Linked DNA regions of Canis lupus familiaris. The protein of the gene in region 3 interacts with the protein of the main gene of each other region in a biochemical or structural test. Links are inferred from orthologs where the notes say so. Each region holds a gene or a part of one and is shown on either strand. Other genes may lie near its edges.

Evidence for each region.
Region 1: the proteins of RBPJ (region 3) and NOTCH1 form a complex in vitro, tested with the Homo sapiens proteins (5 studies listed by BioGRID and IntAct, with this or other methods). The link is inferred for Canis lupus familiaris from reciprocal best matches to the Homo sapiens genes RBPJ and NOTCH1.
Region 2: the proteins of RBPJ (region 3) and SPEN form a complex in vitro, tested with the Homo sapiens proteins (2 studies listed by BioGRID and IntAct). The link is inferred for Canis lupus familiaris from reciprocal best matches to the Homo sapiens genes RBPJ and SPEN.
Region 4: the proteins of RBPJ (region 3) and SNW1 form a complex in vitro, tested with the Homo sapiens proteins (2 studies listed by BioGRID). The link is inferred for Canis lupus familiaris from reciprocal best matches to the Homo sapiens genes RBPJ and SNW1.

What each region holds. Positions count from the first base shown.
Region 1 is NC_049230.1:48,972,191-48,977,640, reverse strand, and holds the start of NOTCH1 (neurogenic locus notch homolog protein 1), read right to left. Parts: upstream 3,219-5,450; 5' UTR 3,165-3,218; coding exon 3,104-3,164; intron 1,486-3,103; coding exon 1,404-1,485; intron 1-1,403. UniProt on the Homo sapiens protein: Functions as a receptor for membrane-bound ligands Jagged-1 (JAG1), Jagged-2 (JAG2) and Delta-1 (DLL1) to regulate cell-fate determination.
Region 2 is NC_049223.1:81,177,502-81,182,290, reverse strand, and holds part of SPEN (msx2-interacting protein), read left to right. Parts: intron 1-3,480; coding exon 3,481-4,789. UniProt on the Homo sapiens protein: May serve as a nuclear matrix platform that organizes and integrates transcriptional responses. In osteoblasts, supports transcription activation: synergizes with RUNX2 to enhance FGFR2-mediated activation of the osteocalcin FGF-responsive element (OCFRE).
Region 3 is NC_049224.1:84,675,061-84,679,849, forward strand, and holds part of RBPJ (recombining binding protein suppressor of hairless), read right to left. Parts: intron 981-4,789; coding exon 815-980; intron 1-814. UniProt on the Homo sapiens protein: Transcriptional regulator that plays a central role in Notch signaling, a signaling pathway involved in cell-cell communication that regulates a broad spectrum of cell-fate determinations.
Region 4 is NC_049229.1:50,799,059-50,803,847, reverse strand, and holds part of SNW1 (SNW domain-containing protein 1), read left to right. Parts: intron 1-2,397; coding exon 2,398-2,494; intron 2,495-4,164; coding exon 4,165-4,282; intron 4,283-4,789. UniProt on the Homo sapiens protein: Involved in pre-mRNA splicing as component of the spliceosome. As a component of the minor spliceosome, involved in the splicing of U12-type introns in pre-mRNAs.

The DNA.
Region 1 (5,450 bases), on a different chromosome or scaffold from region 3:
CCTTCCCAAAGCGCTCGGCAGAAGTACAGAGACCCCCCCCACGCCCCATGGGTGAGCGGGCAGCCAGAGCAGGCACAGGGCCGGCGGGAAGGGAGTCGTGCATTCTGGGAAGCCACGCATAATTAATCACACGGCATTAATCCGCCTCCCAACAATAGCCGCTGCGCTTCCCCTGAATCCCAGCTGTCGGTCTCTGAATGAAAGGAAACAAGATTTAGGGCATCAAGCGTCGGTGAGGCTTCTGGAGGAAAAGAAAAAGGCCCCAAAAAAGCAAAAAAAAAAAAAAAAAAAAAAAAAAGTAGTGTGCATTCATTAGCGTCTGACAAAGACACAATCCTCTTTGTCTATTAAACTGCTCACAGACCTGTTTAATTGGCTTCAGTTTGGGGAGGGTGGGGGCAGCGAAGGAGGGGCTGCCTGCCCACGGGCCAAGGGTTGTCAAGGGAAGGGGCCCTCGGCAGTGGGAATGCAGCACGCTGAGGAGGACCCAGGACCGGCTGGGGAGCCCTTGCTTCCTTTGTGCCCCCCACCCCCACCCCCGCCCTGCGCCCCGGCGGGAGGAGGGGACCTTTTTCCAGCCACCAAGCACCACCTCATAGTCCCATCAAGGAAGAAGTCAAGCTGAAGGGCACCAGCCACAACAGAAAAACTTTGGTGAGGCCGCTGCGCAGGGGCAGGCAGGGCACACAGGCGAGGGTGCATGGGCAGGCAGGGTGCGGACTCTAACAGGACTCCCCGCCCGAGGCGGGGGCGCCCCCGCAGGACACACACATTCCCACTCCAGCTGCGGACCAGCCCAGCAGGTGATGGGCCGGATGGCAGCAGGGCTGAAGCTACAGATGCCAAGACAAAGACCAAGCTCTGGCAGGTACACTCCCACCCACCCCTAACCTATGAGATGGGCTCCCGAAGAGTTCCCCAACCTCACCTGAGGTTGGAGAGGGGGTGCTAGAGGCCGCAGAGGGCCCAGAGGGGTGGGGCTGAAACAGCCCATTTCTGTGAGGGTCAGCACTGGCTGATCTTCGGGAGGCACCCCTATGGGCAGGGCTTCTCTAAAGGTCCACAGCCTCCCCTGGCAGGGCAGTCGTTTCTCAGAGACTTTAGGAAGAAACGGGGTACTGGGAATCCCCACCTAGCACCCCAGGAGTCCAAGGTGGTGCACAAGGCGTGCTCGAACCTCCAGCGGCCAGACCAGCTCCACACGCAGCATAATTGCTGGTGATTAAGTAATTGCCAGACTTTGTCCAATAAAAGTAGCACGTGACCGCGCCCAGCCTTCTGGGCCATCTCCAGAAGACAATGGCCTAGTGTTCTGTCCCTGCTGGCCCCTGCTGCAGAAGGCAGGGGCTCTGCTCCCGACAAAAGCAACAGGTCCCCACAGGGGCGCAGGGGTGCGTACTCACACACAGGCTTCTGTGCCGTTGAGGAACACTTCACACTTCCCGCCATTCAAGCAGCTCTCACTGGGCTGGGAACATCGCAGACCTGGGAGGGGCGAGGCAAGAGATCAGCCTGGGTGGCACAAGGGCCCTCAGCCCAGGGAAAGGCCCACCCCAAGGGGTACAGCAGCCCCTCACCTAGACAGCTCTGCCTCATCACGGGGTTGCTGGGGGCAGGGGACCTCAGGAACCCTCCCAAATGGGGACCCCAAAGGGCTTCCACATTCTGCCCAGAGTTCTGTAGTCAGAAACGGGGCGGGGGGGGGGAGGGCAACAGGTTGGCAGGGTGGCAGGTGGACAGGTCATGCTCCATATGGGCCAAGGAGGCCTGAAATGCCATCTGGACAACAATGAAGGGAATCTGAGATGTCCCTGGGCCACTCTTCCAAACTCTGCACCCCCAACCCATCTTCAACGGGGAGCCCAACTGGGCTGGGGCCCCTATCCAGCCACCAAGATTGTCTTGCAGTTCAAACATGTTCTGGGAGGGGGCGGTGCTGAGGGGTGGGGTGGCCACACTGCCCCCCACCCCAGCTCGTGGGAAAAGGCGACAGCTGCAAAGCTCAACGCCCCGCCCGCCGAAAAAGCGCCAGCCTCGGAATCAGAGCAGCCCATTGTCAACAGGGCCGCCTCCTGGGGCAGTGGGGCTGCACCTCGGGGACCCGGAGCCGCCTCCAGGACACCCAATACCTGCTCTGCGTCGGTCACCCCCAGATACACCCAGGGGAGGAGGATGGAGATGCCCTATTTGGAAAGAATTCGACCCCATTCCCAAGAAGGGATTAATCCAGTCGTTCCCTCCCCGTGGTACCAGCGACCTGTGAATTAAGCCCCTTGGGGGGGGGGGTGCAGGTACGGGATGTGACTTGGAACCCCACCTTCTGGAAGCAGGGAGCTAATTCTCCCCACGAACTTTCAGGGGAAGAGAGGACTCAGTCACCACCGGATCCCTGATGTGAAGTGGAGAGAGAAGCGTTCCTTCTCCACGGCCTCTCAGCCCTCGCTACATTTCTAAACTTGAACTCCGCAAAGTGAAAGTCAGGCCGGTAGGGGCTGGGTGTTCCGCACCCCGCACCCCCCCCCCCACCGGCAAGCTGCATGGGAGCGGGGACGGGGGTGGCGATCGGACGTGGGAAGGGGGTGCTGCGTCCTTCCCTCGCCAGCCCTCCCGAGCGCTGAGGCCGCCCGGCCCCACCCGCCCCGCATTGCTCCGTAAGGGCAGCGCCGCGCCTGGACCCCACGCTCCGCGCCCGGCATCCGCGCCCGGCATCCGCCCCCGGCGCGGGCCAGAGGCGACGAAAAAGATAAATGGTCCCCAAAGCAACAGGAAACCAAAACCGACTCGATTCAAATCGAAAAGGAGTAGGCAGCCAGCCCGCCTGCCCCGGCGGCAAGCCCCACGCGTGGCTGACGGAGGGCGAGCCCAGGGCTGGGCCCGCCGGGGTCCCAGGCGCTCCGAGCGCCCCGCGCCCGGCTTCCTTCACACCGGCTCCGCGCGCGGGCGGCGCGAGCCCTTCCCGTCGGTCCTTCTCCTGCGCCCGGGGTCGCCCCGCGCCCCTCTCCCGCCCCTGCCGCCGGCTCCGGGCCGGCCGGGGCGCGCGCGTAGGCGCCGCCAAAGTTTCCGGAGGGCGCAGAAAGTTGCGGGCTCGCGGGCGGGCGCCTACCTCGTGCGGCGAGCGCGGGCAGCAGCGCCAGGCAGAGCAGGGGAGGCAGGAGCGGCGGCATGCCTGCCCGCCCGCTGCCCGCTGCCCGCGGCGGCCTCCCGAGCCGGGACAGCGGGGCTGCCGCGCACGGGGCGCGCCGGACGGTCCCACGAGCGGCGGTGGCGGCGGCGGCGGCGGCGGCGGCGGCGGCGGCGGCGGCGGCGGCTCCCGGCTTCCCGGCGGGCGGGCGGGCGGGCGGGCGACGCGGGGCCCTCGCGGCCTCGGGCCCGGCTCGCGCCCCGGCTCGTTCCTCCGCTGCGCTCGCGCCCGTGCCCGCGCCCCGCGCCCCTGCGCTCCCTCCCGCGGCCGAGGCACTAGTGAGGCGCAGGCCGCGGTGCGCTCCGCCCCCCCTCCGGCCCCGCCCCTCGGGCCCGCCCTGCCGATCCCTCCGCACCCCTCGCCCTCGCCCTCGCCGGCTGCGCCCCTGCGTGCCCCGCGACCTCCCCGCGTCTCCCCGCAGCTGGGCGCGCCTCGGACGCCCGGGCCCCCGGGGGCCGGGGGCCGCGGCGGGGCGAAGGGGCGTCGGAGGTCGGACCTAGGGACTACTTCTTGTTCGAAAGTTTTCAGCGGCAAAAAGTTTGGTTCAGGACTGCGGAAGGATCCGCCTCTGACTTACGCCGCGCTCGGCGACAATTGACAAAGATTTGCATCTCAATAGCCGAGGAGGTGCGAGCTGAGTGGGGCGAGTGGGGCCTAAGGGTACGTGCGCGGCTGAGGAGCTGGAGGAGCGGCCAAGGCCTGTGGGGGACCCGGGGCCGTGACTGGAGCTCGGGGAGGACTCGTGCCCCCCCGGCCGTAGGGAAGCCCCCGACCCAGGGGCTCAGGTCCCCGTGGCGAGCCTCCAGGAGACAGGCCGGGCACTTGACCCCCAGGGATGGCGGCGCCGGGGCCTCTGTTTCTGGAGAGCGCTGGGTGCCCCAGTGAAACCACCTGGGGCCAACGGCTGCCCAACGGACTGCGCTGCTACTACTCCCCCAGGAGGGACCCGCCTCCAGACGCTCTTGCTCGCTGACCAGCCCCTTCTTCAGGCGCCTCCCTTTCAGATGCCCGGCAAGCACACGAGTCCAGCAGACCCTCTGCGAGCCCCAGGGCAGCCCTGGGCCCCTCCCACGTGCTCCTTCCGGATGATTTATTTCTCCGCCACGATGCCAGATTTGGGCATCCTGTGCCAAGTGGGGTTAAGCTCTGGGCATTCCAGATGCCTGCCACGGCCCCTGCTGAAACCAAAGTTCATGGCCTGGCCCTGGGGACAGACACCCCCATCCCAACAAAGGTTGGTCAGCACCGTGGGAGGAGGTACAACCACCCAGCCGCGCATGCCCACGGCCCTCTGGAGTGGGTGATGCCAGGCTGAGAGGGACCTGGCTGTGTGAAGGGCGGCAGGCCAGAGCACCTGCAGGACTGCGGAGCCTAGAGGCTGGTAGCGCAGTCGCCTTGCAGGGAGACTTGCGATGTAGGTAGAGTGGGATGCCCGGTGGTGGGCAGATTTCACACCTGACTCCTGCCCACTCTTCTTGGCACACCTGTCCTGGAGCGCTGGTGGTGGCTGGGATGCTGTGAGTGCCAGAGGGCCAGCCAGGCCAGGCCAAGACAGCTGTCTGCCTCCTTCCAGAAGCTGGCTGCACAGTGCAGAGCCTGGGGTGACTTCTCTCTCGGCCAGTGCCCGTGACCTGAGGCGCCTGGAGGCTGCAGAGATGTTTATATAACAGCAGCCTGGCAGCCTGGAGGAGCACATTATCCCTACAAGGAAGAGGATGGCTGCAGTCCATCCCTATCCTCCCGTCCCAGCTCATAGACTCAGGGCTCTACCCACTACATCCCTGTCTACTCTTGGGGAAGGACTGAAGGCCTCAGGCTGGGGGGTGCTCCTCCAGGCTGCTCAAGTGCCCTCCACTGGGGGCCTGCATTCTGCCAACAGGCTCCAGGCCAAAGGTTCAGCCCTGGCTTGGGAGCAGGTTTTCACCTTCCTGCCTTGGAACAGCTCTGGAGAGAGGGGAGGAGGGAGCCCTGGAGGGAGGAGGGGAGGGGAAGTCCTGGGGGAGGGGAGCCTTACCTGGGTCTGCCAAGCTGTGCCAGCTCTGCTCTGGGCCTCACCCGGGAGCTGGGTGCTCTCATTAGCCCATGGTGGACAGGACAGCCGGGCTTGCCAGGCTTCCCAGGCTTCTGACCCCTGGGCCATCTGCTGCCTTGGGCACCCCAGGGGCAACAGGGGCCAGGGAAACCCCAGGCAAACCAGAGTGGCTGGGGCAGGGAAGGGCTCGTGCATGGCCTAGGCAGGGGGCTGGCCTGAGATGGATGGGAAGGGGGT
Region 2 (4,789 bases), on a different chromosome or scaffold from region 3:
CAAGGAGTTGAGGTATTGTGTAGTCATGTGAATAGTTATCTCAAAACTTGTCCTTTCTAGGTTCTTTGGAGACCCTTTTGTCCATGGTACCAGTGTGCAGTTGTACTGTCTATCCTGCTTGAGTTGCATTCTTTGGGAACAGGAACACTCATTTCTTTTGGTAGTCAGAGGGCCCACCAAAATATGTGCAGAATCAGTATTTATTAAACTGAACAGAGCTCTAGCACTAATGTTTATGCATATACCTTTGATTTATGTAACTTTTTCATATTTGGGGGCATAGTTTTAGTTTGATTAATCTAAAACATAACCTTGACTCTTTTTACAGTATGACTTTAAGCTTACTGTTAAATATCTTTTTTTTTTTTTTTAAGATTTTATTTATTTGACAGCACAAGCAGGGAGCAGCAGGCAGAGGGAGAGGGAGAAGCAGGCTCCCCACTGAGCAGGGATTCCCCATGTGGAACTCGATCCCAGGATCCTGGGATTATGACCTGAGCTGAGGGCAGATGTTTAACCAACTGAGCCACCCAGTTGCCCCAAGCCTACTTTCAATGTGGGAAGTGAACCGGTGACCATTCTAGATGTCTTAATTTATATTGGAAAGCATACAGTATGTTTACCTTTATGTATGAAAAGTTGCTTCCTTGGAATTTGTATTTATGGTGGCAATGAATTAGCCAAGTTCCATGCTTTGAAACATTTATTTTAAGGTGGCTGGCCATTATTTAGGCAAAGAATCTGATTCCTGTGGAACTCTAGAAAGATCATCTTGAATCCAATTAAACAAAATAATATAGATATTCTCATAAAATATTCTCTCTAAACTGAGAAATTCCGTATAAATACATATAACAGTGTGTTATTGATGCTTCCAGTGTTTGAATGTTAAACCTTAGATGCTTCATTTGCTGTAGAGAGAGAGTTAGAACATCACCCAGTAGTAGCTTTGACATATTTATTTTTCTTCTTTATTCCTTTCCTTTCTCCTTTCCTTTCTCCTTTCCTTTCCTTTCCTTTCCTTTCCTTTCCTTTCTCCTTCCTTCCTTCCTTCCTTCCTTCCTTCCTTCCTTCCTTCCTTCCTTCCATTTTTCTTTTCCTTATTTATTTATTAAATTTTTTTGGTATATATATATATTTTTTTTTTTTTTTTAAGATTTTATTTATTTATTCATAAGAAACACAGAGAGAGATTGAGAGAGGCAGAGACACAGGCAGAGGGAGAAGCAGGCTCCATGCAGGGAGCCTGAATGGGACTCAATCCCAGGACTCCAGGATCACTCCCTGAGACGAAGGCAGGCGCTTTAACCGCTGAGCCACCGAGGGTCCCTGGTATATTTTTTTATTGGAGTTTGCTTTGCCAACATATAGCATAACACCCAGTGCTCATCCCATCAAGTGCCCCACTCAGTGCCCGTCACCCAGTCACCCATCCCCCTGCCCGCCTCCCCTTCCACCACCCCTTGTTCGTTTCCCAGAGTTAGGAGTCTGTCATCCTCTGACTTTATTTATTTGAGAGAGAGAGAGCATGAGCAGGTGGGAGACAGAGGGAGAAGAAGGAGGAGCTCCCTACTGAGCATGGAGCCCGTTGCGGGGCTCAGTCTCAGGACCCTGAGATCATGACCTAACCTGAATGCAGAGACTTAACTGAGCTACCAGGCACCCCTGACATATTTTCCTAAGATTCATTCTTTCAACAGGTACTTGAGTGCTTCCTCTGAGACCGTTACAAGAAGACCAAAACAAAACAAAACAAAACAAAAAAACCACCTCATTCCTTTAGGGGCTTAAGTTCTAGATTTGTTTATGTTTTAGTAAGCCACTAAAGGTAGTACTGTTTGGCAAATTGAACTCCAATAAAAATAAAATAAAAATAAAAAAGGCAGTACTGTGTAGAATGTATGACCTGCTTGAGGGAACAAAAATGGACAATGAATGAGAGTGAAAGAATTGTCCTTTGTTACAGGTAAATTTCATTTTATCCCTCATACATGTTCTTTTTTTAAAATATTTTTTATTTATTAATGAGAGACACTAGAGAGAGAAAGAGAGGCAGAGACACAGGCAGAGGGAGAAGCAGGTTCCATGCAGGGAGCCTGATGTGGGACTTGATCCTGGGGCTCCAGGATCACGCCCTGGGTCAAAGGCAGGTGCTAAACCACTGAGCCACCCAGGAATCCCCCCTCATACATGTTCTTGTGTGTAAATTAAATCCTATCTTGAATGCCCTGGATAGGTCACTATCAAAGAAAACCATGCTGAATTCCTTTACAATTGAGGAATCTCACACAAAGCCTGTGTTCAGTTGGTGGTTGGGGAAAAGTAACATTACTAAAGGCCAAGTATGTGCCTTGCATTTTGTCAGGAAAGTTCTTAAAACTGTTACCTTATATAATCTTCTTAAGAGCCTTATGAGGAAAGTTTACCACCATTTTATAAGGGAGACTGACTTCCAACATTTTTTTTGAATTGTGATAGAGGTGTTACCAATGTTATATGGGTCATGTAGGTAGGAGGATTTCAGTTAGATTATTCTCTTTCCCAATAATACATTTGTTTCCCAAGTTGTGGTAAAAAATCTTTTGGCAGAAAAGTAATTATGAAAGACTTACGAATGTGGGGATATGATACCGTTTAATACTAGTGCTTATTATAAGTCATGATACTTCAACCTAAAGAATAAAGAAGGGCTGAAGTGCTGTCCAGTAGAAACATAATGCAAACTAAATTTGTGGTTTTAAATATCCTAGGGCAGCCCCGGTAGCATAGTGGTTTAGCGCCGCCTGCAGCCCAGGGTGTGATCCTGGAGACCCAGGATCGAGTCCCATGTCGGGCCCCCTGCATGGAGCCTGCTTCTCCCTCTGCCTGTGTCTCTGTCTCTTTCTCTATCTGAATGAACGAATGAGTAAATTATAAAAAAATGAATAAATAAATAAGTGAATATCCTAGTAGACACAGTAAAAAAGTGAAAAGGTAAAATTAATTTTATTTAACTCAGTATGTCTAAAATGTTATTTCAGCATATAACCAATCTAAATATATTAAAGTATTTCTTTTTTTAAAATTAAATCTACCAAGTCCAGTGTGTATTCTGTATTCACATCTCAAATTTCAAGTTCTCAATAGCCACATGTGGGTTGTGGCTACGGATAGTATTGGACAGTCCACATCTAATGAGTAAACAATGGCAAAGAGTTTTATTTTACTTTTATTTATTTTTAAAGATTTTATTTATTTATTTCATAGGAACACGAGAGCATGAACAGGGGAGGGGTCAGAGGTAGAGGGAAAAGTAGGCTCCCTGCTCGATCCCAGGACCCTGAGATCATGACCTGAGCCCAAGGCAGATGCTTAACCGACTGAGCCACTCAGACACCCAAGATTTTTAGAAGCAGGACTTCGTTAATCTCATGTGTGTGGTTTAATATGTCAGTGACAAGGAAACAAAACAACTAATACATTCTTTTTCATATTTCATAGAGAGGAACGAAGGGGATCTTATGACTATAGCCAAGATCGTACATATTATGAGAATGTTCGTACTCCAGGCACATATCCTGAGGACTCCAGACGGGACTATCCAGCCCGAGGGAGAGAATTTTATTCAGAATGGGAAACTTACCAAGGAGACTACTATGAATCACGATACTATGACGATCCTCGGGAATATAGGGATTACAGAAACGATCCTTATGAACAAGATATTCGGGAGTACAGTTACAGGCAAAGGGAACGAGAGAGAGAACGTGAAAGGTTTGAGTCTGATCGGGACAGAGACCATGAGAGGAGGCCAATTGAGCGCAGTCAGAGCCCAGTGCACTTGCGACGCCCACAGAGTCCTGGAGCATCTCCCTCACAGTCTGAGCGGTTGCCAAGTGATTCTGAAAGGAGGATTTATAGCCGGTCCTCGGACCGGAGTGGGAGCTGTAGCTCACTTTCTCCTCCAAGATATGATAAACTTGACAAATCTCGTTTGGAACGCTATACAAAAAATGAAAAGACAGATAAAGAAAGGACTTTTGATCCTGAGAGAGTGGAAAGAGAAAGACGCTTAATAAGGAAGGAAAAAGTAGAAAAGGATAAAACTGAAAAGCAGAAACGAAAAGGAAAAGTTCATTCCCCTAGTTCTCAGTCTTCAGAGACAGACCAAGAAAATGAGCGAGAACAGAGCCCTGAAAAATCACGGAGTTCTAATAAACTGAGCAGAGAGAAAGCTGACAAAGAAGGAATAGCAAAAAACCGTCTGGAGCTTATGCCCTGTGTGGTTTTGACTCGAGTGAAAGAGAAAGAGGGGAAAGTTATTGACCACACTCCTTTGGAAAAGCTGAAAGCCAAGCTTGATAATGACACTGCCAAGTCTTCTGTCCTAGATCAGAAACTTCAGGTCTGTCAAACGGAACCTGCAAAATCTGACTTGTCTAAACTGGAATCTATTCGAATGAAAGTGCCAAAGGAAAAGGGACTGTCAAGCCACATAGAAGTGGTTGATAAGGAAGGTAGGCCTAAGCCCAGGAAGCACCTAAAACCAGAGCAGACTGCTGACGGGGTCAGTGCAGCAGATCTGGAGAAGCTGGAAGCAAGGAAGAGGCGTTTTGCAGATTCTAATCTGAAAGCAGAAAGGCAAAAATCAGAAGTCAAGAAAAGTAGTCCAGAGATGGAGGAGGCTCGGGTACTTTTAAAAAAGCAGCCTGACCTATCATCTAGAGATGTCATTCTGCTGAGGGAAGGAGAGTCGGAAAGAAAACCTGTGAGGAAAGAAATTCTTAAACGAGAATCTAAAAAAATCAAA
Region 3 (4,789 bases):
TGTTACCTGCCAGCCCCCATCCCTATTGCCAACTACGATAAGGCAAACACTAAGATAGTCAGTGAAGATTTACTGAATGAGGAAATAGCTTCTTTTGTATTATTTTAAAGGAGAGTCATATGATCGTTGAGAACAAACCATTTTTCGAATTTTAATATTAAGGGAAAAAATAATAGTTAAATGCTAACTCAGTAAGAACTATTTTTGAATACTAAAGGTATAGACTGAAATGATTAGTTTCTAATAAAATACAATTAATAAAACTAATAAATAAATTCCATTTCCTAACAAATTAAACCCCTAAAAGTCTGAGTAAAGCTAATTGTGGCTATTTTTGTCAATAGTGTAGTTTTGTTCCACAGAGAAGCTAGACATTTACAATCTTTACAACCCACGTAAATACTTCTAAGAATTTCTCTCTTTGCTTCCATATAAGACTGAGAGTAAAATATTACTGAACTGTGTATTTTCACTGTTTATTGAGTCTCATATACCCGTCAGACACATGAGAGAGTAGGCTTTTCAATTATTATTGGCTTCCAATGGAACTTTTTTCACAGCCTGCTAAAACTGCCCCCAAGCTGAGGAAGCTTGCCGCGTGCCACTTTTAGATGTCCACAAGCTCATTACTAGACCATAGCTATTTGAGAACTTTATCTCTGATGGGTGAGGCTGTGTGTATCTGTGGGAAGGTGTTCAGAATATTGCTACCAAAAGCCATAAAAAGAAAAAAAAATCACCACCACAAAAACAAATAAGAAAACCACATGCTGCCATGGTGCCTTTTAGGAGAACCAACACAGTTTTAATTTACCTTTCCTTCCAAGTTCAGCTGCTGCATTTCTTGGTCACTATTTCCTATTCCAATAAATGCACATGGTTGAGACTCTTGTTCAGAACAACCATCCCGTTCCATTTGTTCTTTTTTTTTCTTCCATCCACTGCCCATAAGATACACACAAGGAGGAGGGCAAAAAAACCTGAAACAGTGGGGGAAACACACACACACACACACATACACACACACACACACCACACACAAAAAAATGCAATTAGATTCAAGAAAAATATTTCCTTTCCTTGAACATATGAATACAAAATTATATTGAACTGCATAAGTAACCTCCTAACGAAACATTTTGGTGAAGCCTTTTGAAATGCAAATAGTCATGTCCAGAGCACAGAAATCAAGGCTTCCACAAAACTACATTTGTTCAGAGCAGGTTCATCTATATTGGAATCATGCAATCAATTACATTAAATACTTTTTGGAGCAGGGAGTCTCCCTTTAATTTTCATAGAGCTCAGAATTCTGAACTATTGGAATTCAGCAAATCCAATGAAGTCTAAAAGGTTACAGAAGATGATACACCACTGCGGAATCTGCAATTATTAATTAAGGTCTACTCAAAAATGATATATTATTAATCAAGGACACTATTGTTAGGGCTAATACACTTAACTATATTTGGTAATTAACCTGGAAAACAGAGTAAGAGCAGCATCCTAAGTAGAAGTTTTCAAAATATTAATAAAAGTAGAAAAATTAAAAACAAAGTGAATGACTGGATTACTATGTTTTCTGTATGTTCCACCCTGAACACCTGGTGCAAGTGGATGACTGAAAGAACAATGACATTGTACCCTTTCAACTCACAGATTACCAACGGATTTGGTTTGCTAGCTGCCAAAAAACCTGCCTTCAAAAATTCTTCCCACCTAGAATAACTTCCTTATATCGTTGACCCTTGAACACTGTGGGGGTTAGGGGTGCCAGCTTTCTATGCAGCAAAAAAAAAAAAATCCATGCCTAACTTCTGACTCCCCCAAAACAGTAGCCTACAAATAGCCTACTGTTGACCAGGAAGCCTTACCATTAACATAAACAGTCAACACATACTTTGTATCTTATATGTATTATATGCTGTATTCTCACAACAAAGCTAGACAAAAGAAAATATTACTAAGAAAATCTTAAGAAAAATACATTTGCAATATATAGTATTAATTGAAAAAAATATGCACGTAAGTAGACCCTGCAGATTGAACCCATGTAGTTCAAGAGTTAACTGCTATTTTCTCTCTAGCAATTAAAAAATATCTATTTCAAAGCCTAGCTCAAGCCCCTATTTTATAGCTCAGATCATCAATCCGGTCCTTACACAGGGTATAATTTGCTTTTGCTCAATTATACATATTGGCTTGTGCATACTTTAAAACGTTTACACCATGTCTCATCAACGGGTCTGAAAACCAAATACCTACTCAAATAGGAGCTAAGTAAACTCAAATAGTAGCCAGGTAACTAATTTAGTGGGTGAACCAGGCTACAATAAATAAGTAGGAATATCCTTTAATAACACAAAGAAGTAGGTTCCCTCCTTTCTTTCTTGAAAACACACAGTCCTGATGGTAATTCCCACTTTCTGTATAGTTATGAGTAAAGGAAAATTTTTATTTCTTTTAAGCCTACTAGAAGAAAAAGAAGAACTTAAATGCAATGATAAGCAGCTATTGGTGTGTGATTCTGATGATAACGAGGCACAATACAGAATAGCAAGCCTGTGAACACACAGTTTGCTCAACTACTGGCATGTGGACCTAGTGTTGGTCACATCCTCCGATTGTTCAACAGATGCTTGAAATTAAATTTTATATGAAGTTCCTTATAAAATTTAGCCACTAATTTATGTTTTTTAACACTTTGTAGGCCAAGAGCGTGCAGGCTTAAGTGACAAAATGTGTACATGTGCCTATTTGTGTGCATGTATGTAACACACTGACAACACCAGGGTGGATTTGGCCTCAGCCCTTCCTAAAGGTAGTTAGTATCTACTTTTTGTTTGTTTCCCCCCTTAGCACCTACTACAATATTGACTGAACTGAATCAAAACTATGTAACAACTACTTTTCACTCAACTCTAAAGACTACTTTAGGAGCAATTTATATTAATTTATAAGTGAGCTGGGTTTATGTAATATTTATTAATTTACCACATTATTACACCCCTAGTCTGTACCCCTAGTGTATGAGGCACTGGGAATATAGGAGTCAAAAAAAAAAAAAAGACAAAAATTTCTGTCCTGATGGAATTCACACTCTAATAGAAGCGACACACAATTAAAAAACAAAACAAAACAAAAAAAACATAATTGAGTAAGGTAGCTTATATATTCTGTTAGCTGGTGAGAAGTACTGAGGGAAAAAATTAAGCAGATAAGGAGTACTTAAAATGTAGAATACCTACGTAGCCAGGGAAAGCTTCCTTAAAAGGTAAGCCCGAGTTACATCCTAAAGCAATGGGTAGCTGGGGTAGGAGTATTTCAGTTGAGGGAAAATCAAGTGTAAAGGCTCTACAGTAGGAAGGACTAAAACGGACTGTGTCTAAACAAACACAGACCAGTGTGGCTGGAGTTGAGAATAGAAGATGAAGCCTAGATAATGGAGAAGAAGATGAAGTAGGCCCTGGGGGTCAAGCTGAGTGAGGAGGGAAGCCACTGAAGTCTTCTCATATTTATCTAAAGCAATAAAAAGGCAGCAGAGCAGCTTTCATGCCTACATACTCTCACTGTGGCTGTGGATACAGAGGTCACAGCCGAGGTAGTGGGCTCAGCTCCAGGTCACTCCAAGTTTGGAGGGATGCCTGGAGTAGCTGGGCTAGTACTGGAGTTGGCTCAATTCAAGTCTACGGCAGGGATCTTTCTGGCCTCTCACACTGGGAGCCTCCCAATGCTTACCATGGCACAGACTCAAATACCTAGCTGGCACACTATTGGGAGGTTGAGAAGGCATCAATTTAAGAAACTTGCCTCCTATTAGTGTTTTTTTTTTTTTTATTGAACGCTGATATTAAAATTCCTTAGTAAACTGGTATACCAGCTATAAAATTCAGAGTGGTGCTTCAGTAGAGTGTACCAGACATGGGAGTCAAATCTCAACAAGCTATCATAAAAGATATTTTTTATCTCACACCTAAAATAATATAAAGAGGGTTAAAACTGTAGAAGATTGGGTAGTACTGGCTTTCTCAAGAGTATTGTGATAAAAGGGCATAAACAAGGTATAAAATTAGGTTGCCAATCAATTCTTCATCACTTAAAACTCAGACAAGATTCTATATTGAAAGTGCTTTCCAATAAGAAAAATAAAGACTTCACAAATGCCTTGTGTTTTTTGTCAACTCTACAACAATTCAAAAAAGTTGCAATGTAAGAAAACAGCAAATCCAGTACAATCTAAACATCGAGACTATTTCTATATAATGCGTTGATGAAAACCGTATTCTAAACACCCCATATTGTCACCCCCTAGGAAACAGCTAATGAGTCAGGTTTGCATTTCCAAAGACTTCAGTAGTAACATCATTAAATAGAAGATAAGCATACACACAGCAAAAGAACACAGACAAAAGAAAGGAAATTTTTCCATCTCTTTGGGTCTTCCTCAATTTCTTTCAGAAGTGTTCTGTAGTTTTTAGGGTGGAGATCCTTTACCTCTTTGGTTAGGTTTATTCCTAGGTACCTTATGCTTTTGGGTGCAACTGTAAATGGGATTGACTCCTTAATTTCTCTTTCTTCAGTCTCATTGTTAGTGTATAGAAATGTCACTGATTTCTGGGCATTGATTTTGTATCCTGCCACACTGCCGAATTGCTGTATGAGTTCTAGCGATCTTGGGGTGGAGTCTTCCGGGTTTTCTTTTTTTGTTTTTAAAAATTTTTTATTTATTTATTCATGAGAGACACAGATAGAGAGAGAGGCAGAGAGGCAGAAGCAGACTCCATGCAGG
Region 4 (4,789 bases), on a different chromosome or scaffold from region 3:
TGAGAGACAGAGAGAGAGGCAGAGACACAGGCAGAGGAAGAAGTAGGCTCCATAGAGGGGGAGAGAGAGAGAGAGAGAGGGAGGGAGGGAGGGAGGGAGGCAGAGACACAGGCAGAAGGAGAAGCAGGCTCCATGCAGGGTCCCCGACATGGGACTCGATCCCAGGTCTCCAGGATCAGGCCCTGGGCCAAAGGTGGCGCTAAACCGCTGAGCCACCGGAACTGCCCAAGGTTCTCTTCTAGACATAAGGATTTCTGTTGTTGGAGGTATGGCAATAAACATTCTAGTGAGTGTAGAGAGACCAAAAAAGTTAATTATCATTACTAGATGATTAATAATAATAGTATAGTAATAATTGCTATGGAGACAAATAAAACAAGAAAAAGGGACAAAAGTGCCAGGAGAGGGTCAAGATGAACCTTACTTCTGAGATGGTAACATTAGCACAAAAATTGAAGTAAGGAATTGAGCCTTATAGATATCTAGGGTTTTGAAGAGCATCCCAGATAGAAGGAACAGCAAGTGCAAGGGCCCTGAGTTGGGAGTACTCTTGGTATGTTAAAGGAAAAGCAGGGAGGCCAGTACAGCCAGATTGGAGCAAGAAAGCTAAGTAGTAGGAGACAAGGTATCAAAATAGAGTAAATAGGAAAGGTAGTAGCCAGATCATGTGTGGTCTTTTAGCCATTTAAGGAGGTGGCTTTTATTTCAAATAACAAGGGAAGAAGTTGAAGAGTTAAGCAGAACAACATGATCTACCATACATGAGCAGGCTGTGAAGTGGGCATGTGGGGGAGTAGGGAAGTCATTTGGAGGGCTAGTGCAGTAATCCAGATGAGAGATGATAATAAGAGAGGCAGGGAAAACACTGCCAAATACAGATGTATTTTGCAGGGAGAGCTGACAAAATTTGCTTATGGATTAGGTAGAGGTATGAAAAAAAAGAGTCAAGGATGACTCCAGAACTTTCTTTTTTAACTCCAGGACTTTTGACATGAGCAATTAGGAGGCATTAAGTTGCTATTTACTAATAGTGGGAAGATTGCAGGGGAAGCAGTTTGGGAGGAAAAGATTAGGAGTTTAGTTAGGTTTAAGGTGGAGGTATCAAGTAGGCATTTGGTTAGAGGAGTCCAGAGTTCAGCTATAGGGAGGTAACCAGGATTAGAAGTAGTGATCCATATCCTTGAATCATACATAAATGACTTAATGAGGCAAGTTATAAAAACCTGCCTATTGTACATACACTTAGCCACTGATGGTAATTAGAAGTAAGATTTCCCTATATCTTAGTCTCTACACTGGTAAGAAAAAAAAAAAAACAAAAATACAGAATGGCTCTTGAGGAATTAGGTAAAATTCTGAAAAATGTGTTGCCAGATAGTAAAAAGAACTAATGTTTATTGAGTACTTATTATGAAAGACACCACTCTGAGCACTTTACATGTATTGCCTTATGTAATCCCTCTAGTAACCCCTCACAGTGGTTCTAGGATTGTCAGTTTTTCAGAGGAGACTAAGGCTCAGAGTGGTTGGGTAACCTGCACAAGGTCACATGGCTAATCTGTCATAGGAACAGGATTTGAATCCAGACAAGCTGGCTCCAAAGCTGTGTCCCTTCAGATTGGAGAGAGAAGAGAAAATGAAGATAGACATAAACACAATAGGTAGAGATCAAGATGTAACCAGTCCCTGTGTACCACCAGCAAAAGGTTCTTTATTCATTTGGTCTTTGAAAATATAAGGGTAAATTTACACATAATTTTTTCCTGAAATTTTAATATGACCATTACACACCAAAAAGTTGAAAAAATTATACAAGGAACACCTTTCTATCTCCACCACCACCCAGATTCTACTAGATTCCACCACCTAGATTAACTTTTCTTTTAACAATTGACATTGCTAGGGATGCCTGAGTAGCTCAGCAGTTGGGCATCTACCTTCAGCCCAGGGTGTGATCCTGGAGTCCCAGGATGAGTCCCACATCGGACTCCCTGCATGGAGCCTGTTTCTCCCTCTGCCTGTGCCTCTGCCTCTCTCTTTCTCTCTGTCATGAATAAATAAAATCTTAAAAAAACAAAAAAACAATTGACATTGTTAAATTTATTTTATCACCTATCTGCTAATCTCTCTATCCACCTTACAGTTTTGATGCATTGCAAAGTCAAAGTCATCAGTATACTTTACCTCTAAACATTTGAGCTGCATGCATGATTCTGGAATTCATATTCAAAAATTAAACCAATACTGTTGGATTTAAGTTAATTGCAAGTGAGTTAAAAGGGCTGAATGTGACTATAAAGAAATTTATGGAATTATCGGTCATGGTTAAAGAATATTTTCATTCTAAATATTAATGCGTAATATAGTGATGAGGAATTTTCAACTCTGTTTACACAGAGGATGGGGAGGCACGTGAGAGGGATGAAATCCGGCATGACAGGCGAAAAGAGAGACAACACGACCGGAATCTTTCCAGGGCAGCTCCTGATAAGCGGTAGGTGCTATTTGAGATAAATACAAATTGTGAGGAGTGGCTCTGTGAATCCTTTTGAGAAGAGGTTTAGTCCACTGGGACCAGTTTTGCTTCTCTCCCTTTCCTCTCTTAATTTGATAATCTACTAAATCAGCACTTACTTTCCTACACTAAACTACTTATTTTTTCTTAGCAGAAGAATTAACTCCCTGGAAGAAATCCTTTCTCATCACCTTGTAGAGTCAGCTAGATTGCGAATGATAGGAATATAGAAAAGGGAATTCAGATCTTGTTTATGAAAAGAAGGCAGTAGGTAGGCTTGTTCTGGTCTGTTCTTTCCTATTTCAAGTGGTAGGACAAACTGATTATGTGCGTATTCCTCTAGACAGGGAAGAAGCTTCTGTACCTGCATTGAGATCCTCTTATATGCAGAGGGCTGTCCCAAGTACAGTGGAGGAGGAGAGCAGGTTTTGTGAGAAGTGAGAATTGGCCTCTTCTCATAAGTAGTTCTCTTAAAATTCAGAAAGACAAAGCTTATAAAATTATTTGAGAATATTAACAAAGCACTGCTAATAAGTACAGGCCTGCTTGGAACAAACAAAATACATGTATGGGGACTCACACTAAAGTAGGGATTGGTAAAGTTTATGCTTCACCAAAGGCTGAGCGCTGAATTCTGAGTGAGTGTTAAATGCAAATATAAAACATTTTCTTTCTCATCACTTTGGTGGCTGATACAATCCATTTTTTCAAGTTATGTCTTAAACATTGAAAAAGAAGATTCCTGCCAGTATTGTTTTTTAATGGCATAGCTCATCTCCCTGGATAAGTGAAACCATGGAGAAGCAGAAAATCTGAATTTAGAATTGTAGGTAAATGTGCAGTGTAGAAGAGAGAGGAATGAAATGTGAAAGTGCACAATTAAAGATACTAATGGTCTGAAATTCCTAAGCTGTAAAAGTCAAAATGGCTCTGTAGATAAATTGGGCCCTTAAAACTAGTAAAGTGGTTATGAGAATTGATAATGTAGAAAAGCTGTAAATTTGTGATTGGATGAAAATCTGGTCGTCTATAGAAAATATTTTAAGACCTGGGTTTCTGGTAAAATAAATGATGACAGTTACCATGGTTTCACTGCGATGTAGATTGCATACATACTGAAACAGCAGGGGAATTAAGATAATCTGAATATTGAAAATCATACTGAGTAATTCAGTCATTGACATGTTTTCCTCAAAATTCTAATAGGGTAAAATTACTAAATGTGGTTTAGGTAAAGAACAGAATTTGGCTTATTGAAAGTGATTCATATACGTCTAATTTGCATCCATTCCCTCCCCCCGCAACCATCATGTAATAGCAAATACAGACCGTAGCAATTTCATATCTCAGCATGCTCTTTCTGTAAGGTGATTGCTTATATTAAAAACTTCATGTCAAGAGTGAGTCTCTTGACAGTTCTTTTCAGCTAACAGGAAGGCCTGATTGTAAAACCCCACCTCTTCTAATAATTCTGTCTCTGAGATGCTGTAAGGACTACCAGCCTGATTATGCATTATCAAGGAATATATGTTCACAAGATATGAACAGGACATACTCATTAACTTTGCTTCTAAGATTGGTTGTATTTAAATTGAAATTCGGCTTGTCTGTGAAGAGTTTTCAGTTAGTGATATTGTATTTTGAAACAGGTCAAAACTACAGAGAAATGAAAATCGAGATATCAGTGAAGTCATTGCTCTTGGTGTGCCCAATCCGCGGACGTCCAATGAAGTTCAGTATGACCAAAGGCTCTTCAACCAGTCGAAGGTATAAGGAGTTTAGAAATAGCAGGTCTTAGTTAATGTGATTTAATCCTCAGGGAAAAGAAAATTCACATACCATAGATTTGGATCAGCCTAAAATATGCTGGCATGAGAGGGAAAAATTAGAAGTTGTGTGATGTAACTTACAGAACCATTTTATCTTATTTCGTCATATCTAAGGGTAAACAGTTCTGATTTTGACCTCTTACAGTTGGCTAAAATTTAAGACACTATTAGAAAATGAAAGAAATATGTGACAAAATTTGATTTGGGTATATAAGTCTTATTTATAAGGTAGAGCCAGTGTCCTACAGAAGTATCTCTTGGGTTTCTTGTTAATCTTTGAAAAAAAAATGTAATGCTAAAGAAACATAACTTGAGATCTTTAAAAGATGAAGCTGTAAAACTAAATTTAAGTGCTAGACTAGTTTGTCAGGAAATCTGATTTCAAGTACCTATTGTTATGAACTAGCTAGGACACATTAGGCCTGAAAAAGTGCTTTTATGTGTT